Tamandua tetradactyla: one gene and its partner. The main gene of each other region encodes a partner of the protein of the gene in region 2 in a complex. Links are inferred from orthologs where the notes say so. Each region holds a gene or a part of one and is shown on either strand. Other genes may lie near its edges. The genes, in order: PTHLH and KPNB1.

What was found.
Region 1: the proteins of KPNB1 (region 2) and PTHLH are in contact, whole or in part, in a crystal structure (PDB 1M5N), measured with the Homo sapiens proteins. The link is inferred for Tamandua tetradactyla from reciprocal best matches to the Homo sapiens genes KPNB1 and PTHLH. Residues at the interface, in NP_002256.2 of Homo sapiens: Val55, Tyr104, Pro106, Gln111, Glu152, Tyr156, Gln159, Asn196, Leu199, Asn200, Gln239, Glu274, Gln278, Glu281, Asp288, Ile295, Ser298, Glu299, Asp339, Asp340, Trp342, Val350, Met353, Glu395, Trp430, Arg434, Glu437, Asn469, Trp472; in NP_945316.1 of Homo sapiens: Tyr103, Thr105, Gln106, Glu107, Thr108, Asn109, Lys110, Val111, Glu112, Thr113, Tyr114, Lys120, Thr121, Pro122, Gly123, Lys124, Lys125, Lys126, Lys127, Lys129.

Annotation. Positions count from the first base shown.
Region 1 is NC_135333.1:91,192,310-91,204,078, forward strand, and holds the start of PTHLH (parathyroid hormone-related protein), read right to left. Parts: upstream 5,844-11,769; 5' UTR 5,642-5,843; intron 3,554-5,641; exon of another isoform or gene 3,001-3,553; intron 2,819-3,000; 5' UTR 2,794-2,818; coding exon 2,693-2,793; intron 1-2,692. UniProt on the Homo sapiens protein: Neuroendocrine peptide which is a critical regulator of cellular and organ growth, development, migration, differentiation and survival and of epithelial calcium ion transport.
Region 2 is NC_135332.1:29,003,775-29,015,772, reverse strand, and holds the start of KPNB1 (importin subunit beta-1), read right to left. Parts: upstream 5,603-11,998; 5' UTR 5,249-5,602; coding exon 5,209-5,248; intron 5,103-5,208; coding exon 5,044-5,102; intron 2,985-5,043; coding exon 2,802-2,984; intron 1-2,801.

The DNA of each region.
Region 1 (11,769 bases), on a different chromosome or scaffold from region 2:
GTGGAAAAATGACTATGCTGTGCTTCCTGATTTCCTTTCATTATTGTCAAGAGTAATGCAAAAATGTGAGGAAATGTTTAATGCAGATAATTCTAAATTTAGTCAGAACATAGCTCTTCCACTTTAAAGCAAAGTGACTCTCAAAGGAATTTTCAAGGAAGAAGATTAAGTTTCTTAAGCACCTGTCAAGGAACAGGGAACAAACAGGGTGATGGAGACTTTTTTTCCAGCACAGGAAGAAACAGCATGCCTGTGCTGATGCTAGGCTGCTAAGGAAGGACTTTGTGTTTGAGAAGAAAAGTTCTGTGGTACACGGAAGAGACAGGGTTAGGGTGTTAGAGTTAAGATGACTCACCAGAAGTCCCTTCCAACCCAAATGACTCAGTCGAAAGTTATGCTTTTCATTAAATGGAATCGACCCAGTCTGGTTCCCAAGCAAATCATCCAGTGATGTTTTAGGTTTCCGACTGTACTGGGGTTCCCTCTCTAGCTTAATATAGAGGTCGCCACCTGCGGAAAACCCTATCCACTTGAACAAGAAAGTCCATAGGCTTCACTTTCCAACCTCCAAATTACTCCTGCTGAAGCTCCATTAAGTAAAGTCTTTTGAATTAGCAAGTCAAAAAGACTCGCAACTTCTTATTTCCTCCTTTGCTTGATATAGCAACTGTTATTATTGTTCTTGTAGCAGTTTCCTCTCCTTTAAAAAATCTGTTTTCAAAGCAGTTCCCCTAATACTTGTTGTGAAGAGTAACTGGGGAGAAGTATGGCTTGACTATACGTTAAAATTTCTTTCAAGCTAGTTCAAGAAACTAGCTTGATTTAGCTTAATAGTAGACTGTTTTGTCTAGCACACAGAATTTACTGTTACTTGGCAGCAATGCAAAAATAATGACTTGTTTTTTAAAAACTCCATTTGGCTGTAATAACTTGATGGAACATCTTCATCTACTGATGATTTTTGCCTCTATGAAAAATCATGACTGTAATGTGATGATCTATTAGCCATTAACTACAAGAATGTTTCATGGTAGTTTGTCTGCTGAGTGTGAGCGTTTGACTGCACTATTATATTTCACCCACAAACAAAACTGTAACAGAGTTTCTGGCTGCTAAATGCTTCTTCATGTGTTTTTTTGCAAGGTGCAACAAAGAAAGAGTTAAAAATAGCTGTTAGGACAACTTAGCAGTATTTTATTTCATAACTGTGGATTTAATCATGGTTCATTTATTATTTATCAGAAAGAGAAAGCAACTACTTCTTAAACAGCATTAAAGAAAAAGTTGGCTATGTTCCAAGACAGTATTTCTTAGCCAAATAAATATAGCATTTAATGTGCTTTTAAAAATTCAGTCTTCGCCTGTATTTATCTATGACTAAAAAAAAAATTGAACTTAATACAAGTCTCAAAATGAGCAAAAGTCCAGAGATAATTTTCAGAAGTACATCAGTAAAATGTTGATTGGAGGAATACGATTCAGCTTTATCTTCAGTACAGTGCTCTACACAATTTGCTTTGGGAGATTCATAATAGATTTTCATTTTGGTGCCAAGGTTCAGACATGTCTAAAGTAATTTTACTTAAGGATTTTCTGCTCTAATAATAATAGACCAAGGGCACATGCAAAACAGTTACCTTTTTGCACAGCCTGGAGAATTTACAATGATACTCTATGAATCTGATTGTAAATATTAGATATTGCTATTTTTGTTGTTAGTATAACAATTACAAAAATGTCTCAATTCCTATTCCAGAGTCAAACTCTTCTTAGTTCTTCAACTTTAGAGTGTTCTAGAACACTGAACTGAGTTTGCAGTTTAAGACCATCCAAAAACTGTATCACAATACTGATGTTAAGATAATGTTACATATTGCTCTAAACCACTCTTCCAGCTTTTCAATTAAAGGGCACCCCGATGCTTCTCCGTGTGTGTGGATGTATGTTTATGCTGAAGTCAAAATTAAGCTTAAAAGAACCAGCAATTGAAAATACCAAATTAAAAGTTTTCAGTCTACAATGCAAATATTAGACATATATTAAAGAACCATTAGAAATAATTTCAAGAAAAATTTCCACATCTAAAATTGAGCACTCTAGTGTTGCTGAACTGCATCAATACTAACACTGAAATAGTGCCACTGCAAAGTTGTCACTACTTTATTATATAATAATGTGCCTTCATTATGTAATATGGTGCCATTTATGTGCTTAAAATTATGTCATTCATAATAAAATTAGATGTCAGCCTTTTGCTTTTCACACACAAACTGCCACATTTCAGTATGCCCACAAGTGCACACACACATATGTCCCCTAAGACTCCTCAGCTTCTTCCTAGTTATCTAACTCTCTTGTAACCCGCAGAGTTTCAAAATCTTCCCAGGTTCTGAAAGTAACCGTTTTCTTTCACTAGGGGCAGAGGATCTTTGCTTAGAGGAGATTCTGTAAAACGCTCCCTCTTACCGAAACCCATTTATAACTTATCTCCCGCCTGTCTGTCCCTGAGGTTCAACCAGTTTTCCCCGGCAGTCGGAGGACTCGGCCTTCCGCAGGTAGCCTGATCACTAGCTATCTAACCCGGGCGGGGAGCATCTGTGACCGTTGCGGGCCCCGGGCAGCGCCCCGCCTGGCAGCCGCTCTCACTGGCCTCAGCCGTCACCCGGCGCCCCCGGGAGGACAGAGCACTCACAGTCGGCGGCCGAGCCCCTCCACCGAGCGCCCGCAGGAGGGCACCGAGTAGCTCAGCAGGAACACCGCGACGCCCCACTGTTGAACCAGCCTCCGCAGCATCGTATCCGATTCTCGCTCTCTGGACCTGCAACAGAGTGGAAAAGAGCCCGAAATGTCAGTCTGGACTGTCCATCTCCCTGCAGTCCCCTCCGACCCCTTTTAGTCTGCTCTCAAATAGCCTCTTCAACACCAAGGGGGATCTCTCACATTGCAAATAGTAAAACAAAACACACACACACTTTCTCTGAAGACTATCTCAGCACTTACTTATTTAGGAACCAGATACTCCAGTTGTGCTTTTTCCAAAACACACAGGCAAAAGGGACCCCCCCCCCCCCAAAAAAAGAAAAATCAGAGGCGCTTCCTCCGAAATAATAGCGAAAATGAAATGGTTTTATATATGCATCGAGGTTGAGTAGTGTTTTTATACGTCTCCAGTAGCAGTGTCTAATTAGGCCAGCGGCTCTCGTGGGTTCGGGAAGCAGGGCTACCTCCCTTCTAAAAGAAGAGAAAGCCTTCCTCCCTGTCCCTCCGAAGTCAGCTTCTTTGCGAATCAGGCCGTTTGGTTCCAGAGCCACTTGTAGCGAGACCCATATATATATCCATAGCTGTCTATCTACCTCCTCTGGTGGGCTGGTTGTTTCCGGAAAGTTGATTCCACACACCCTGAGAACAAGTTTCAAGTGCGTGTGTCTTCGATCGGGAGGGCCAGGTGGCAGTGAGGGCGGGTTAACAGCGGCGCAGAGGGGCGGCGGCAGCCCCGCTTCACGGGCGGGGAGGCATGCCTGCCCGGCGGCGCAGGTTGGAGGCGAGGTGAAAGCTGAGCAGAGGAATATTCACACGCTCGGAGGCAAACCTGCCGGAAAAGTGAGCGAGTCGCAAAGAGGTGGCGCCCTAGGAACGCGCTGGGGGCGAGCGGGGGACGGGGGCGGCGACGCGCGGCCGGAGCTCGCGGAGGGGCGCGGGGAACCCGAAATGCGCGCGAGCCGCACCGCCCCCCGCCCCCCGCCCCCGTCTTCCCCGGCGCTGCCCCCGGCCCGCCGGGCCCCACCCCGGAGCGCGGGCCCCGCAGCTCAGTCCCCCGGGTCGGGGGCGTAGGCGGATCCGCTCGCTTTCGCCCTGCGCCGCCCGCCGCGGATCCGGGAGTCGGGGTCCCGGAGGGCTCGCGTGACGGTCCCCCTCGAGTCACAGCAGCCGCTCCGGGTGGGCGGGCTGGCGAGAGGAGCCAAGAAGGGGAGCGCGGGCTCTTCCGAGCCTCGGCAGGGAGGTCGCGGGCCATTGGCCTGTGGCTTTAAGGAACCCTAAGCTCGCTGGGGAGCTCGGGGCGCGTGATGGAAACCCTTTCTCTGGTTCTTTACTGGGACGAGTTAAGTGGGGAGCATCTGCCAGGGACGGGGAGATCTTTCGCTTAGAAGAACAAAAACGGATTCAGACTTCAGATCGGGATAGGATTTCTTGCTGTCTCAGAGACCAGCTGGGGACATCTGGAGCCCATCCAAGAAAACCCGAGCAGAAGATGAAGACCTTTTGAACTGCTGAAGGATGACGCTCCTGGGTCAAGCACACGGTTCTTTTCGCACACCGGCAGCAGTCTCACCTACCCTAACTCCAGATCCCCTACTCTCTCGCCACTTCCCTCCAACCCCCTGGTACAAATTTTAGGATGAGTGAGCTGAACGGCTGCTTCTGCCCACAGATGCAGCGGAACAATCTCTGTACGTTGCTCTGCCCAGGAGAGACTACGAAAGCAGAGGGCTCTTCCCAAAGCCGTTGGGCTGGAAGAAAAACTGCTCTGAATTACTGGGCAGTATCATTTATAAAAGGATTGCAGCGGATGTGGGCATTCGCCCAATGGGCCTCCTCTATCTTTCTGAAATGAACGCGGATGGTTGGGAAGCATTCAAGGGATATTTATCTTCTAGACAGGCTATGCTGTTGGTAGGTTTTACAACCCTCTGGAAGGCTAGCGTGAGGTGATTCAGGGGTCTGACCTTTATCAAGCCTGGCTTTCCGATTTAGGAACCACACCATTTTACCAAGGATGGGTGAAATAGCGCCCTCTCACCGACCCGCGCTCCTCTCCGCTCCTCTCGCGTTAACAACAGTTAATGTTTGATGCTTGGTTTTGTTCGAGGCACCCCTTTTCAGAAGCTCCCTCACTTGATGGCTTTAAACTCTATACTTAAAAACAAAACAGGACTTGCTTTCCACACTACCCCCCCCCCCCAAAATGTTTGGGAATTTCCACAACTTCCCTTGAATGTTTAAGAATTTCTAAATGTTAGACCTGTTTTCATGGCATGAAAGAAATAGCAGTAAGAAATATCAACCTTTGAACCTCTAACACTTTCTGATTTATAATAAATTCTTTCCAAAAAAGATGCAGGAGACTTAATGTAATCTTTAGATCTGGGGGAAATCTGTAAAAAGTAAATCACAAACAAGCTATTTAATACTTGCAAGATGTTTCACATTAAAATGATAATATTTGCTTCCATAATAAAAAAATCCAAGGCTACTTAGCCAAGTTTTAAACTACTCAGGCTTTAAAAAGTCAACCCTCTCCCAATAAAAGGTTAAAAACAAAATTCACATTGAAAATATTAAATCACTTATGCTGTAAATAAATTCATTATACTCCCAGAACATTATAAACGAAAGACTGGCTTCAATAAACTGCTTTGATTTATGTTGCTTTTTCTACTTAAACAAAATTGACCCCTTTCTCCTTCCCGCCTTTCTTCCCCCCCCCCCCCCCACTCTTTTCTGGTGTTAATGGTAAAACATCTATCAAGTATTTTTAGAATTTCCTCTCCTCCACGAAAAGAAAAAATATATAGACACAGGAAAAATAAATAGTCTTTATATACTTGAAATATGGAAATTTCCTCTTAATTTATTACCTCACCTTTTTCTTGATTTAGTCTTCTCTCTGCCCTTCTGGCCAAAAGAGGGAGATCTTTTCAGCAGTCTCTTCCTGAAATAATTATTTTTTGTTCTTTAGAAAAGTAACATTAAATCTTAAATGAATTTAAAACTTCCTGTAAGGAGCCCTTTATGCTTTCACCAAAGGTAATTATTAGAAAGCAGGCACCTCATCTAAGCTGCCCTGCTTATTACCCACAGTAGAAAGTCTGAAATTTGTCTCATTATATACCTAGGCCCTGTCTCTTTGGAAAAGAATATTTTCTGACATCATCTAGCTCCCAATATAGCTGAGTAACCTCTACAGTAATGTTGAGGACACATGACTGCAAATGAGGCATGTTAGGAGGTTGCCTTTTTTTTTTGTGAGGCTGAGGCTTAGGAAAAGAACCAGTGCCAATAAAGAATCTGAATGTTTTGCTAGGCCTTGTTATCCTCATGAATGCACCTAGCAAATAGGATGTTTTGAAGGCCTGCCTTTAATCTGAAGTGTTTTCAAGTGCAGAATTTGGCATTGTGAGATCTACACCTACACAAATACGTAGCCCACAGGCAAGTCCCAGACTTCCATCTTCCAACCCCCATTGGCAGTGTTTTATCCCAATTTTTAAAAGAGGTTTTCTATATTTCTGAATGTAGTTTTAAATTCATGTTTGACTAACCAGCTGACATATCTCCAGGGCTATCTCCTCTTGGAATTTACAAAAAAATAAAGTAGTGTTTATGTTTAGCTTCTTTGTCTTTCTTCTTTCTTGCTTCCTCAGTCCAAACAACAAGCCAATAAATAATAGTACAAACCAAAAAAAGTGCCTAGTGCACCTGGGCTCAGAAATTTCCTTGTCTTATTCCCAGTAGGCATCCAGATTTAACATTTGCCAATCTGTTGCTCCAAGCTTTTCTTTGAAATCCCATGAAAGCATGCTGTTTGTCACAACAAACATTATGTATGAATTATTTTATACTCATGGATAATTCAATTACAATTTAAAGAAGGTCATTAAAAAGTTCTATAAAATCAAACAACTAAATCCATCCCTTCTCTTCTCTGACCTTTTTCTGTTTGCATAGACAAGTTTGCATAACCAGTTCAAATAATCATTTGGTTCCATTCCAAGAGGGTTCTACTCACTTGCCCATACTGAGACTTGAGAAATGGCTATTGCCAGCTGACCTCAAGGTAGCAAAAGAGAAAAGGAAATGTAATACCTTTAAATTCCAAGTAGAATTAGAAAAGGGCAGGTTTCATTATTAAATCTCTTTGTAGTTAGATAAGAATTAAAACTCAAACAGAGGCTTCTCCTCTGGGAAGAGATGGCTGGCGACATCTGAAGGAACTGCCTCAGGGTACAGAGCCTAGCTATGCATCAGGCTGACTGGATAGCTCCCTTGAAAAAGTGGCCTTAACCCATCCTCACCTGTCCCTCCTTCCTGGCCAAACAGCTTTCCCAGGCACCAGACGTGAGGCTAATTTCCCGGGAGGAGTTCAAGCCAACATGCAATGAAACAATCATTAAGGAATGGGATCTCTTGGGACCAATTCTCTAAAATGAGTGCTTGTGCACTTTCCAAACCAATAACCATAAAAACACTTCTGCAGAAGAGTCTTCTCCCCAGGGATGGGCGTAGGGATCGTGGAAAGAAAGAAAGCGAGAAAAAAATGTGTAGTGTCCGAATCCTGATCTCTTGGACCGGTGCCTACCCCACGCCCTTGGCTAGACCAAATCCTTGGCTCTTTCTAAGTAGGAAGCTCTGAGCTGGTAGGAGAGCACAGGGAGTTCCAAGTCCCACCTGGCTCATCCTACAATCCTCCAACCTGTAATTTATGTCGGGTAGCCCCACAGAGGCTTCTTGGCCGCCGCCCGGCTGCCCTATGATGGGTGGGAATCGTCCCTTCATTTCCGGCCGGAGCCGCCTGGTAGGCGCTGCTGGGGAGAGTCGCTGGGACCTGGGAAGCCGTGTACCTCTCTAACACCTTTCTCCGCCGCTGCAAATCTGGCCAATCTCGTTAAGGCTGCACCTGGACTAGAGTGTCCATCCTCTCAGGCAGAAAGGCATCCAGACACCCACACTGAAGGCGCTCAGTCTGCTTGGCTTTGAGCTCATGATTACGGTGTCTTCCGGCCCTGACTTCCCCCTTCCTGGGGAAGTCCGAAAAAAAGGTCCCAGGAGGCATCAAGCGTGAAAGTTTCGCCCGCGCTTTTTGGGGTCTCCTGGCCTAGCTTTTGCGCGCGGGTAGCTGCAAGGGGAGGCCCGTGTCCCTTAAAGCAGGATCCCGGGTCTTGGAAGAGGCGGGGAGCGGGAGTGGAGGGGCGACGGGATGATCTTTATTAGCTCCCCACCTCCCGCGACAGACGTGGGTCTCTGATTGCAGAGATGATCCCTAGGGAGGACCCGGGCTTGGCTGACCGGGATCTTAGGCTTTTTTGGAACTTCAGAGGCGAGTAGCCCCTTGGCAAGACTTAGCTGAGCTCCCTGGGTTCACCTTGGCGGTCCCCCTAAAAATCCGGCCTCCTGGTTGCGGCACAGAATCCGTTTTGCCTGAAGCGTTGGAATTGCAGCCTTCTCGCTCCTCCCCATCCCGCCCCTTTAGGTACAAGCATTCAGACCCTGGGACCGTTAGAGTGCCTGCCCAGTCCCCCCGTTTCTTCAGCAGGGGCCCCGCAAACGCTGCAGGAGAGCGGAAGCTCTGGGAACATCAAGTCCCCGTCCCGTCCCGAGGCCAGGGTCCAAAGGAGCGAGAGAATTTCCTCCAAGTTGGGCCCTCCCTCCCTTCTCCCTCCAGGTCAATTTATGACTCAAACCTGAGATAAGCCCCAAAGCATATGGTGATGATATATTCCCGGTGGGAGTGGAAGGGGGTGGGGGGAGGGGGGGCAGACATTCCACCACCACCCCCAACTTCCAGGTCCAGGGCTGGGTGCAAGTAGGGGTGTGGAGGGACGACTCCCCTCCTTCCAGAGGCCCGAGACTCACTCTCTCCCTCCTCACCTCCCCCGCGCCAGGGAAGCTTGGCTTCTGGAGCCCTGGGATCAGTCTGTTTTATTTCGTTTAACACGATCCGTAAAGCCAAGGTTTGGGCGGGCGCAGTGAGAGACGAGGAGAGGAAATGAAGGGACGTGGCACGAAGCTGTCTTTGTCAACTCTCTCCGTCTGATTCTTAGAATCCGGAGGCACCTTAAAGGACTTATTTGAGGGCAAGAAGAGGAGTATTAACTCCCGAAACTTGCTTTGTCTATATATAGCAACTCAGTGGTTGCAGTTGGCGATCGCAGGGGGTGCAGACTGTGGAACACAGGGCATTTCTCCAGGGCATACAAATCAACCTCGCTGGTGGCTCCTATGGAGTTTGTAAACGGCGCGGAGCTGGCTGGAGGAAGCCTGTGAGCTGTCCATGGTGGTTAAGACTCCTTGACCGGCGTGCTCAGGCTGTCCTGGTGAGGCGAAGACCCCCACCCCCACCCCACCTCACCCTCAGGCACTGTGACACCCTCGCACCCGAGTCTCCCAATGACTGAGCCCCTGTGCGCCGGGCATGAGACTAGATGTGTTCTTTTGCACAACTCCGGGATGCGCAATTGCACAGAGGCAGAATTCCAGAGATAATGTGGAAAAGAACTCTTGAGTCTAAACAGGGGGTTTCCTTTTAGTTGCCCTTCCTGAGAGTCTATTTCACGTGCTTAATTTAAGATATGTTTGCCCACCTCCACAACCTCCCTCTTCTCCCTTTTAAAATGTTCTGTTCTTTAAAAAGCTACAAGCAAGTTGATAAACTCGATATGCTTCTCAAGTTTCTTAAAAGCATCCACGAACTGACCATTGCATTTGCACCTTGCGCTATGCTATGGTAATGTGCACAACATCCGCTTCTATGGCGTGGGCAAGCTGCTGTTGGGAGTTGCCAGGTGTCTCAGGGTTTTTGGTCAGTTCTTTTCCTAGGCAGGGTCCTTTGCAGTTTATTATTGTTTGGAGGAACAACATCTTCATTATACACGAGAGCCCTGGGAATAGTGTCTGTCTGATTGCCACTTTTCTTTTAGCAAAGCAAGAAGCAAAGAAATTGCCGGAGTGGGGTGGGAGAGGGTGGGGGGTGGGAGGGTCGTACTTGTAGGTTTGTTCTGAGACACAATTCTGCCCGGTTGTCGTGACATATTCTTATGAAGAAATGCTTATGAACTTAAGCTCTTATATGTGTTCAAGGCAAAGGATGTTTTGCCCTTTTAATTCTCACTATATTTTACTTTTTTATCTTTTAATTTCCCCTGGTAATCATTACTTATCTCTACTAGAGATTCCAAGTCTCCAACTGAATAACGAATTCCCCTATATACAAAAAAAAACAAAACAAAACCCTGAAATATTCTAAATATTTATAAATCTAATTTGTGTTCTGTGCCTTTATTTATGAGGGTATTTAATTACCATCCTGTGCATAAAGGAACTTTTTATTTGTTTTCATATAAGACATAAGATTGGAGAACATCATTGTTTGCTGTTTTTATACTTTGTGTGTGTGTGAATTTGTGTTTATAAACAACTTCCAGAATGCCTGATGTAAAATAGAACTATTATGATTTAATAATTTTAGTAGCTTTTCTCTCTGTCCCCCTCAATTTCTGGCTCTATAATATTTTTTAAGTGGAAGAAAATGGAATATCTCTGTAAATTCATCTAAAAATATTTTCCCAAGTCAATAAAATTGATATAAAACATTTTACTTTCCCTGACTCTGGATATTTTAAAAAATAATTGAACAAGGTTTGCATGTGTACCCATTTCCTTGAAAAGTATAAAACAAACCCTGAAAAAGATTTTATTATTAATTTGCAACTTAGAAGTTTAGTTTTGTTCTATAAATTCTTTGGCATCAGCCTTCCCCTCTTAATCTCTTTAGCCTCGTTTCTATGAAAGAATAAAGATAAAATGGTAGTGAGGCATATAAACAGATTTCATTCTTTTATATGTTATCTGCTCATATAGTTTAGGGAAAGTTTCTCTCTCTCTCTCTTTCTCCCTCTCTGTAATGTAATATTTGCCTCTCTTCATAGTGAAACCAATTGAGAATTTTCCCTCTAAAGTTCAGTCTAATTCTATTCAGTTTATTAAAAAAAATTGTTTCCCCGGTGTCTTTTTTATTAGTTTTTTTAAGGTCTCATCTTTTTATCCATTTAAATCAATAAATTTTTTGGGGGAAAGTATTAGAACTTTGTACCAGCTCTCTGTTAGAGTTGTAAAATTGTTTTTGGGCTTTCAAAAGGCAAGCATTCAATTGGTATAATTGTCTATGAGCTTTTAAAAAAACTTCATCAGTCCCTTGCTTGTGTTCTGCTCACCTTCACAATATCCCCAAAATTGCCATGAGTCCAGAGTAGGTCTTTTGAAGATATTTGAGGATTCAAATTGAATTGCAGTTCTTTCTACCTGCCTCCTCATTTTTGAGGAATAAAAGCATATTTTATTATTTTAGATGTGTTTTCCAACATTCTTGTATAAAGTTCTTTGATCTGCTGCTGGGAATCTTTTGTAAAGCATAATTTTTAAAAACTGTGGCGGATTTGGTGGGCATCCTGTATCTTATTAAGTTTTAGAAATCTTTCTTTCCCTAATGTCTAGTGCATGGTATTATATTATATGCTCCCTTGAAGATTTTTTTTCCTTCATTTTGTTTGTGCTTCACTTCCCAGAAACTGGTAAATGAGGGGAAAATTGTGGACTTCTGATGCATCAGAATATATGAGATCAGCTATTATGTGGGAGTGTTATGCTAAGAAATTTAAAATGACCTTTACAGAATTCTGTCGCACTTTACTCTTTTAGTTCTCATCTTGCTAAGCTGTTACTTGTATGGAACTTTCAAGGTACATTTAATAGTTAAAAAAAAAAAAAGAAGTTTCTTTTTGTGGAAAGGATAAATTTTTTTTTGTCCTAAAAACACATTCTTTGCTGTTCTTAATAGGCAAAAGTGTGCATGTCTATAGTAGTTAAATTGTTCTTCAAAAGACCTGTGATAGCCTCAAATGGAGCGGGAACTCAAAGGTGGTTGATATGGTTCCCAAAACCCACATTTTTAAAAGAGTTTCATTGTCGAGGTACAACAGAGTGTACTTTTGAGTC
Region 2 (11,998 bases):
AATTCTGGGGCATTCAGGTGGATCTGATTCACAGTAGATTACCGTCTAAAACCTGATTCAAGAAGAGATTCTTCCCCTCATGATCTATTAAACAAACTAACTTCCTTTTGGTGACTGACAACAAGCACCCTGGGTGACTTACACAGCAAGCAACAATATCACTAGATGGGAAACAAAGTTACTAATGTTACAAACACCTAAGAATTATCATTATTTAACTTCCAATCTGATTTATTCTTTTCAGAATAAGAAGGAAAAAAATGTTCTTTCCCTATCAACACAACTAGACAGATATGCCAAGATAGGCTTGTCATTCAACATGTCTTGTTTGAAATGTTAACATATAAGCATTTATGTTCAGGCTTTGTAAAGACAGGATGAAATCACAATTGACCCAGGATTAATCATTACCATGATCAGCTAACTCAGTCAATGAACTCACTGAGAATTACTAGTCCACTCAAAAGGCAAACAGTTAATGGTTCCTAGCATGGACAGAGGACAAAGAATAGTTGCCAGATATCCGGGCCAGTACTGCTGACTAGGTGAGGTCACCTAGTATCATGCTCTGTAGCTAGTAGCTAATAATAAAGTCACCATCTTTTTCCCTTAAACTCTCTACTTACTCTCAACAGCTCTACCCAGTTACAAATAGTTCTGCTTAATTCTAAATTAAGACTAGTGGAGCTAGAATGAACTTGAACAAAATCTGCATCTCAAAATCAAGATAACTTGTCAAGTGGAAGTGGCTGACCAGCTATTAACCCAAGCCTAAGAGTTCTAGTTCAGGGTGCCTTTGTAATGTACTACACCAAGTCTCTTGGGACATACCTGGAGATTACTTAATTTATCCTACCTTTACCTTTTCTCCTGTAAATTGCTTCTAGAAGAGCATTAATTAATATATTATTTGAGCTGACTACAGATATCTTAATACCTGAGTAGTGAAATTTCTTTTAAACCAGGGATGGCCCTAATAATACTCATGCGGAATAAGAGGAATAAGAAACTAGCTCAATTGTGTCCTAAGATTCACATTTCAAAAAAGAAAACTGACCATCAGTACTGAGAGACAGTATTAATTATCAGATGTGCTATAAAAGACATTCGGTTTGACAACTGGTCAAATTAATATTTAGAATTTAATAAACTCTGCCATCTGAATTTGTAGATTTTTTCCTTGTTGCCTTAATTTTAATTGGTTTATGAAACTTACTGTACAAACACAGATTTTACAATGATTATTTGGATACTTTATTTAAATACGCCTAAGATATCCCATTTTTGGTGGTTCTCAGTGTATTGTGTTTTTATAAATTTAAAAAACATTAAAAAAAATGAAACGAAACCAAAAAAAAAGACAATCAAGGTAAAATGGTCAAGATGACTGCTTTTTGTTTTCATGCACAAGGGTTCAACCATGCTTATGTAATTCAAAATTTACAAAATATTGGTGTTAAGTGACATGTCAAAAAAATGTTAAATATAGTTTCTATCATGTCTTATCTCATTTAGTATTATGTAATTCGAAGATAAAGAAAAAATCAAATGGGCACTACAGTCATCAAGACTTCCAGTGAAGGAGAAAATTTCATTTATATAAAATTGCCCAGGAGAGGGGGATTAAAATATTATTATATAAGCAGACTCAATGTGGATAGAAATAGCTCCACATATTCCAAAGAAGATTCAAAATAAACTGGCTTTCTAACCTACAGTTTCTGTTGCAGACAACTCCATGTAATACTGGAGCAGAAAGGAAGTAAACAGCTAATGCTGACACCTAGAACCAACCAGGAAATGGCAAATATGATGAGGATAACTAAGACCCACACAGGTACACATGTAGCAATCCCATGTTGGTTTCCTCAAATATCAAGGACCCACTGATGACTGCACAGATGCTAAACTTACTCCTCTTTGTGCCTTATAAAAACAGTCCACTTTTAGAACCTAATTAGAAAAAGAGAAAGCACACCTGTCTATGTATTCTGAGTCCTTTGCTTCAAGCTAGAACGATGCATTTCTAATTCAACAAAGTCATATGAACTTCATGATGCAAAGCAACCAGATAGTCAATTTTCTTCACATACTAGGAATATCTGTTATCCCAACTTTTCGAACATCTTGGAAAAAAACAACAGATCTTTCTTAAAGAAAGTGTTTCATAATCTGCTAAGTAGATAAAAGCACAATGTCATATCCCTATTTCATAAATTCTGGGCTTGAAAGGCTCGAGAGATCTTTTAATGTCTCTTCTGACTATACTACACACTGCCATGGCTAAATCACCAAAGCATGACAATTATCTGCAGCAGAACTTCACTAAGAACTAGGTGCTGGATGTCTGTGAAAGAATCATTTGGGAAGACAGTTTTAAAAATAATTCCTGAAACTTATTCTAGACCTATTAAATCAGAATCTCTAGAAAAATCTTAGAAATTAATATTATAATATTATTAGCAAATTCCCTAAGTATTCTGACATACCCAAGTTTCGGAAGTACCAATTTATGTACCATTCCAATCTACCAAATGGATTCTACAAATTCCTTTAATCACCGATCTAAAGTTTTCCCAAACAGCTATGTCCACCTAGGTTATCTGAAAATAAGTCCATTCCATCAGTGAAAACGGACAAGTTGAACTGAGAAAAATATTTAAATCAAGCACAATTTTTATCTTCAAGTGAGGTTCAGGTTCCTGAAACCTATCATACTGTGAGCTCCAGTTCAGCAAATGACAAAAGAACCAACATGTTTAATCCCTAAACATTATGACGAAAAAGAGAAAGTTACTTACATAGTTCTTGACTTCTCGTCGGGCATTAGCATCAATAGCAAGCCATCTCTGCTGATACTGTGCCTTGATGTCTGGATCCTTAGATGTCAGAGAGTTCTTGATTTGTAGCCCAGCTGCAACTCTGGCAACCTGACTGTTTCCTGGATTTGCCAGCACTCTGGACAGTTCCACAAGGAAAGTGGGCTGTTAAGAGATGTATTTGCGAATGAAAATATCTGGTAGGAGTTTCACCAGTTGAGGATAGCTTATGGAGCATGAAACCTTTTTTCCTTTTAAGGACAGATTATTAGTGCCACAGAAAACTCCAAAATATCTACTTCAAAAATTCCATTTAAATGTAACTTAACATATGAGTAAATAGTCTTCTCAGGCAATGGCAAACAATACAAGAGTGGCAGATTTTCCTACCAAGGTCATTCTTAGAGCCCAAGTTTTCAAATCACATCCCCAGATTTAAAGCAAGTTTGCAATCTGGTAGGCAATGGACCTTCATGCTGAAATGTCCCAAACGCCTAAAATAGTGCTTGTAACTAAGTATACGTTGAATGAATTAACGTTATGACAGGAATGTAAAATTGATATTCTTTTAAAAACTTTAGTCCAAAAAGAATTTCAGTGTGACTTTTGATCTCATGAAAACAGAAAATCTTGTATGAGAGGAAAATACTTGTAGGGAAATCTAAAACAGATTGAGGAGCCTAGTCCTCTGTACTTTAGTTGCAAGCATGAACCAACTTTCAGCAAAAGGGGAACAAAGGGAAAAAAAAGTAGATTTACAAGAAAAAGTTAGTGATAAGTATTAGAAACTGGGATAGAGAAAAACTGAAAAGATAAAAACTGTCAAGGCAAATTGTTCCAAAGAATATGACAAATATAAATGGCTAAAAGCCTCTATACAGTTTGGTATTAGTTATCCACGAAACTTAATGGAGCCCTAAAAAATATATTCAATCTCTTATAACACACAAGTCCCCAAACCACACCCCTTACGATTTCTGACACACACACACATTCCTGCACCCCCAAAAGCCCTACTCAAATGTAAAAGTTAACAGGAAAAGCCAAAAGGAGAGTTTCTGACTACTAACAACTACTGTTCACCATAGAATTTTCACATCAGAAGATAATTCTTAAAAGTCGTATTTAGTTTTGTATCATTATAACATGCTAGGTATGAAGGCTTCTGCAAATTAGCAAAAGCAGAAACGGGTGTCTATACTAGTGGAAAAATCCTTTCTGGGGAAAATTAAGGGTAAAAATATCAGCAGAAGAAACTATTCAAAGGTAGTTTGTATGAAATAAGACTTGCCACTTCTTTCTTACATTATTTTATCTAAATAACTCAAAGTGACCCATTTGGTTACAGTGTTAACTACATATTACTTATACTTTCAAAAGATGTCAAGTATCATCCACCTTTCCCTCTGCTCCACATCCTCCCAAATACAGGGAAACCGAAGGGAAGCAAGTGGCACACGGCTTGTTTCAATCAATCCATCCCACATTCTCAAACAGAAAATGTGCTCCTTAAATCTGAAAACTCCAAAATGAGGAACTTTGCTCTGTGATTTCCTCAGGAAATAGGACCGATCAAGAATGAACCCCAGTCTGAGTACAGATTCCAAATATCTACTCATGGATGTTAAAAAAATAAAAAAAAACACCAAAAAACCCAGGAAAGAACAAATCAGGCAGTATAGGGAGAAATATTAGGAGACATGGGTTAACTGGCATTCGGGTGCTAGGCCTGGCGGTGAGCACAGGCCAAGCTAAATCGGTAAGAGTTGAGGTCTGGTAAGTAGATGGAAAACCACAGGGGCCATGGGACAGGAAGAGGAAGCCGGTTCGGGTCTAGAGCAGAGCGGGCAGCTGGGCTCTGAGCTTCCACATGGCCCCTAGGCCCGGCTCCCCCACCCCCACCCTCGCCGAACACGCAGCGCGGCGCAACCTAACTTCCCTTCCCTCCCTCTTTCTCCCTCCCGCTGCACCGCCGCCCTCAGGCCGTGCGATGATTGGGCGGCAGTCACCCCGGTGAGCCGCGTCATTGGCCAGCTTCAGGGGCCCGGGGCGGGACACACCCACCGGCTTCCCGATGGCGGGGTTAGGTTGGAGCCGGGCGGGGGGAGGGGGACGGGATGGGGCGGGGTAGGTTCCCGAGGCCTGGGCCTCCAGGAGGGCGGGAAGGCCCCGGACGCAGGAGATGGGGAGACGGCGGGATAGGGAACGGCGGGATTGCACGCACCAGGTTCTCTACGGCCGCACGCTCCAGGAACTTCTGCGCCGCTTCCAGTTCAAGCCGATCTGGGGGGAAGCAAAGTGGGAAAGGGAACAGGGTCAAAGGGGCCTGGGCCTCCCCTCCCCCCACTTAAAATCACCTCAGCCCGAACCCCCAGCCCCCGCGTCCTACCGGGAGACACAGTCTTCTCGAGGATGGTGATTAGCTCCATGGCGGAGGTGATAGCAGCGACTTCCCCTAGGACGATGGTCCGGCCTCTCGGGCGGCGGCTCTAACTGGGGGTGGGGGTTGGGGGTCGGGTGGGAAGGGAGGGTGGGGTGGGGGGCGGGGGTCACCACAAGCCCATTCACCGGTTCCCTCTTGGTAGTTCCGGCGCCCTTTCCTTCCTTCTTTCTTTCCTTCTTCCCTCCTACTTTGCTGCTGGCGGCCGCGGCAACTACTCTTGTAGCGGTGGGGTAGGCACCCCGGGGGCAGCTCAGATCGCGGCTGGTGTTCGGGTGGCGGAGGGAGAAAGAAGGAAGAGAGGCAGTGAGTGAACGGCGACTCGCAGGGAGGGAGAGAGAGGGAGGGAGGGAGGGAGGCGGAGGGATATTCGGGCCGGACCTCGCCGCGGCGGCACCGCGCTCCAGTTCGATTGGCTGCTGCCGTGGGCACGCGGAATCCCCAATTGGTCAGGCGGGCAGGGTTGAAGGGCCGCCGTGCGCCAATTCGCCCGCTGGCTTCATGACCCGGATTGGCTGGGCGGGCAGGGAAATGGAGCGCGCGGATTGGCCGACGTGAGGGAGGTTGGGGTGGGGCCGGCGAGAGCCGGCAGCGGGTTGGATTGGCCTGGTAAAGGCCTTGAGCTTAGACACGCTGAGCGCTTGGAGGAGGATGGACTAAAGGCAAGGCTCCAAGCTCGGGTGATTGGCTGGCATACTAGACGTCGATAGGATAGCGCGCCCGGGAGAACTGGGAGAAGAGTTCGGGGTCGGGTCCGCGGGAAGGCGGGAGGCGCCAGGGTGCTTTGGGTGCCCGGCGCAGGGCACGATGGGACGCCCCCGGGAAGGGGCGGCGCTTTGCTCGGGCCGCTTCGGGCTGCGGTTGAGAAAGCGCCCTTGCTCCGAGGGGTGTGTTGTGTGAGTGCTTGGCGGTCCTGAGCGGGGGAGGGGAGACCGTTAAATCTCTGCCGCGCTCACAGGAAGCTGTTTTAATGGTTAGGTCTATTTGGCACCAGACTTTCGTTTGGGAACTACCTTGGAGACCATTTGGTTCAACTTTAATTTTGCACATGTGGAAACTGAGGCCAGAGAGGGTATGGAATTTTACAAGGTCACACAGCCGGATAGTGGCCTGGTCAGGATAGACTGTAGTGCCCCTGACTGCCCTTCACCCTGCATGCGGCTTCCCCTCCAAGGAGATGAATGCATTAGCAGTCCTACATTTTTTGGGGGGGTTTTAGGCCTGTGCTGTAACAAGTCCTAACTCGAATACGGATAGGCATTTGGATTCCTCTTAAGTGCCCGGTCTTTAGCTACCAGGTAATTGAAGGAATAGAGATGAATTTCATCTTCCAAAGGTTACCTTATAAAACACATCTGCGAACCAGAAAGAATGGGTGTATGGGCATAAAGGATTAGCAAAATGCACATAAAGAAAACGTGGCATAGTACATGGGCCCCAGGTTAGGAATTTCCTAGACTGTTAAATTTTTTTACCTTATTGATCATAGGTTTGATTGAAGAGAGTTATTTTTCATTTGCCTTGGTGTTACGAAGTAATTGCCCTACTTGAACCACACTGGGAAAACCCAGGAGATAATTTGTCCATGCTGAGAGGTTCCACTGAAGATATAGGAAAATCTGGCCAGCTACCCTCTGAAACGAAAAGTAGAGACATCTGCAGTCCTGAAGCTGAAAGTGAGGGGACACCATTCCTCACACCATCCTGTAACTTATTGATCTTTTCAGGTTTAGTATTCCACCTAGCTCCAGCCTTTTGCTTCATCTGTTAACTGATAGATGAAGTTTAACTTTGTTAGGAATCAGTGAAGCTTGTGTGAGCACAGGACAGTCTTTGAATTGTCCTGACGTGGTTTACTCACTGAATGATACACAATTTTGTTTCACTCCAAACCAACTTTTTCCTGCCCTCCAGAAGTTTGATGGGCCATCTCCTCTGCTCAGTATTAGTCATGATAACGCCAGTGAAGGCAAATTGATTTTTTGGTTGTTAGATTGTGTGCTACAGAAAATTTAAGTTTGGATAAAATAAGCATCTCTTCTTTCAGTTTCATATAGTAGATGAATTATATAATACAGACAATAACATTATTTACCATGTATTCTGATTTACCTCAGTCCCAAGCAGATCAGCTTTGTTCTTATCTCTACTTGAAGTCTAATCTTTTTTTTGACTTAACAGTTGCTGTAGGTCTTTTTTTTATATTTTTATTTTTTAAATTTTTTATTTTTTTACATGGGCAGGCACCGGGAATCGAACCTGGGTCCTCTGGCATGACAGGCAAGCATTCTTGCCGCTGAGCCATCATGGCCCTGCTGTAGGTCTTTGAAAGCTACAGAACTCCCACTTTGAGTCTTAGTTGTCACTCCAGTACCCAAAGTTCCAGGTAAATAACAGGTTGTACACAAAGAGCATAGCATCTCAGAATCTAGAAGTAAAACTTAAATCTTAGGAATAAATGTGACTATTGTAAGAGTTTATAATCTAGCTCCTAATTTTTTCATAATATAGTTTCTAAAAGAGACCATACAATATTTGTCCTTCTCTTTCTGGTTTTATTTTTTTATTTTGCTCAAAATAATGTCCTCACAGTTTGTTCACCTCATGGGACTTCATTCCTTTCTGTAGCCACACAATATTCCATTGTAATATACACCATAGTTCGGAAGGCAAATTGATTGTTAAACTAACTGAAATAAAATGCTGGGAAGATAAGTTTTGCAGCAGAGTTCCATCATATATAAGATCCTTACCAAAACCAAAATTGAATAATTACAGGTGATAGTGTTTAGGTGATAGGTGACAAGCTGTATCCAAAGCACTCTTCTGTATTTGACAATGCTAGTGAAGCCCCATAGCGTTGGGCAACACATTGGGAATTGACTGCATGGGTTCATAACCCAGCTTTACCACTTCTTAGCTTGTGTGACTTACTTTCCTCACTTGTAAAATGGAGCTAATAACAGTATTTACTTCATAGGGTTGTTGGGAGGTACTAAATGAGTTAATATATATTAAGTGCTAATAACACTACCTGGCATATTATGTATATATAGATGTATAAATATGCATCTATTTGGCTTGTATTTTGTGCTCAGAAGTTTTTGGTCTTCGGTGTACTAATGAACATAGATTTAGTTAATCTCACATCCAAATATAAAGTTATGAAAGTGAAAGATGCCAAGGAATGACCCAGACAGAGGCTCAGGGAAAGCTTAGAGGATGGGAAGGGAGTTAGTTACTCAGGTGATGAAGGGAGGAGCAACATGTGCAAAGGCCCCTTGGTGGGAGGGCCTTGGGGTCTTCAAGGAACTGAAAGAAGGCCAGTACCCCAAAACATGGAGAACAAGGGGTTGTGATAAAGCTGGAGAGTTAAGTGGGGCCAAGACCATAAGAGACCTTGCAGACTGAAAGGGGTTTTATCTGTATCATATAGGGGATACAACAGGAGCTATTGAAAGGTTTCAAGAAGGATGGTTGTGATGTGGAGATAGATTGGAGAGGAACAAGAATAGATGCAGGTAGACCGGTCAGCAGGCCATTGCAGTAATCTAGGTGAGAGATGATACTTGTAGCAAGGAGAAAGGTGGGGATAATGATGGAAATAGAAGTAGATAGCAAAATCAGTTGGTTTGGTGATTGTCTCGAAAAAGAGGGAAGTGTATTGTGTCTACCGGATTTCTGGCTTGTACTGTGGAATGAATGAGAGAAATTGAAGGCCACATGGTTTAGTAGAATGGAGAGGAATAGGCAGGGAATTTCAGCTTGTATTTCCTGAGCTGTGTATTGGAGTACATAGTTTTTTATATTCTCTATAGCTTTTTTGTATGTTGGGAATATTCATAATAAATACACTTTTTAATTTTAAAAAATGAACAAATTCTGAAATTGAAGAGAAAAAAACGTTTTTGTCTTACTCCACTATTTCATTCTGTGTGATTCTGAACAAGCTATGTAACCTTTTGAATCTGTGAAACATCTCATAGGGTGGTGTGAGCATAAATGGAAGCCCCTCTGTGAAGGAACTCGCTACAATTATCTTGTGCCAGGAGATTTTCAGCAGTTTCTGTTATGTGGGTGAATTAGTAAATATTAGAGATGAGCTAAAATTTTCCTAATCAGTCCCCCTTATGACCCACAGCACAGATGTGTAAGGTGACTCGCTATGATGGGAGGAGCAGTGAGGCCATGACCCTGATGCCATTTTCTACTGAGCAAAGTTGACTGATTGGTAGAGGGGTTAAATCTAGGCCTCTTTGCTTTAAGGGACACTGTGTACTTAAGGTTAGTTGATTGCATTCATTTTTCTGTAGGCATAGTATACTTCAATTAAAAAGTTATGCAAAATATATAAGGTGTTATGTAATGTTCAAAGAAAAAAGTTTTTGTTATATTTTTGTAACCTTGAAGAGAAAAAAAAAAGTGGGAATGTATAAGCCAAATGTTGTTAATGGCTGTCTCTGGATTTACAGATAATTTTTCTATGCTTTTTTAGTTCTCCTCAGTGTATTCCACGTTTTCTTTGATGAAAATGTATTGCTTTTTTACTTACTTTTTTTGTTTGTTTTTTCTTGGGCGGGTTGGAGGGGCATGGTCTGGTAATTGAACCCGGATCTCCCACATGGAAGGTGAACATTCTACCAGTGACCCTCCCATGCACCCTAATGTATTGCTTTTTTAATCAGAAAAAGTTTTAGAACTTCTTTTATTAAAATCAAAGAAAAGAGGTAGGGAAAAATGTTCAAAAAGGATTATTAAGCTCAAGGCCCCTATATCACTTGACACAACTATCCTTCTGTAACTGATCTTTGGAAAATAGGTGATGATTTTTTAAACGTATTCTTCCCAGAGCTAAAAGGGATGCAGTGTTGGGGAGACAGAAGAAAAAAAAAATCAAATAAAGAACAAATTGGTAAAAGCATCCTGAATCCAAACTTGGGAGGATCTCAGAGAAGCTTGAGCAAAGCTAAATGGAGCAAATTATTTAGTTATTTCTCCTCACCCATCCTAGCGGCCTGCCTTGTTTTGCCAAAGAACCTGGAGATGGAGCCAAACATCCTCAGCTGCTTTCTGCTTTCATTCACTCAATTTTTTATTTCCTTCCTTTGTTCTTTTTGTGATTATCAAAGTAATACATGCTCCTCACTATAGAAATTTTTAAAAGAATAAAAAGAAGCAGAAATCACTTGTAATCCTTAATTATATCCACCATTAAAATATTGACATATTTTTCCTAACATAATTCAATTTTAAATGAAAACTGATATAACTTATTACTCCCCCCACTCCAAAATGTACTTTTAAGAATTTAAATTAGTTCAACTCTTTATGAGACTGCATTTAAAAAAAAAAGGATGATTTATAAATGAAAGACATACTGTGATCATGGATTGGCAGAGTTAATGTTGTTAAGATGTCAGTACTTCTCAAAGCAATATAAAGATTCAATGCAATTGCAGTAAAAATTGAAACAACTGTCTTTACAAAATGGAAAAAGTGAATTATCAAATTCATAAGGAAGGGTAAGCAGTCCCAAATAGCCAAAACCCTCTTGAAAAGAACAAAGTTGGAGGGCTCACACATCCAAGTTTCAAAATTTGTTACAAAGCTACATTTATCAAAATGATGTGGTACTGACAAAAGGACAGACATATAAAACAATGGACAGAATTGAGAGTTTAGAAATAAACCAATTTTTTGTACCAGTTTATTTTTGACAAGTGTCCCAAGTACACTCAATGGGAAAAGTATAGTCTCATCAACAAATGGTGCTGGGAAAATGGAATCTCCACATGCAAAATAATTTTGAATTAATTTTTGTATAGGTGTTTATAGTAGACTCCTATCTTACACCTATACAAAAATCAATTCCAAGTGGATCAATAACCTAAATAAGAGATAAAACTCCTAGAAGAAAACATAAGGAAATATCTTTAAGACCTTGTATTAGGGAATGGATTTTTAGACTTCACTTTGAAAGCACAAGCAAAAGAGAAGTAATAGACAAAATGGACTTCATCAAAATTAAAAACTTTTGTGCATCAAAGGAAATTATCAAGAAAGTGAAAAGAATCTGCAGAATGTGAGAAAATATTTGGAAACCGCGTATCTGATGGGGATTTAGTATCAAGAATATATAAAGAACTCCTACAACTCAACAACAATTAAAAATGGATCAAGGACTGAAATAGACATTGCTTGAAAGAGGTTATACAGAGGTGCAATAAGCACATGAAAAGATGTTCAATATCATTAGCCATTCGGAAAATGCAAATCAGAACCTCAAGGAGAGGGCGATGCAATGTGGCTCAGTGGCAGAATTCTCTCCTGCCATGCAAGAGACCCCAGTTCGATTTGATTCCTGGTGCCTCCCCATGCAAAAAAAAAAAATAAAAATAACCATTTCACATCAACTAAAAATGCTACTGTTAAAAAAAAAAAGGGAAAATCAGTGTTGGAGAGGATGTGGAGTAATCATTGTTGGTGGGAATGTAAATGGTGCAGCTGCTGTGGAAAACAGTTTGGTGATTCCTCAACAAATTAAGTATAGAATTAACATGTGACCTGGCAATTCCACTTCTAGGTATATACCCCCAAAATTTGAAAGCAGAGATTATTTGCACACCAATGCTTACAGCAACGTTATTCACAATAGCCAAAAGGTGAGAGCAACCCCAAGTGTCCAATGAATGGATAAATAAAATGCGGTAAATATGTACAATGGAATATTATTCAATCA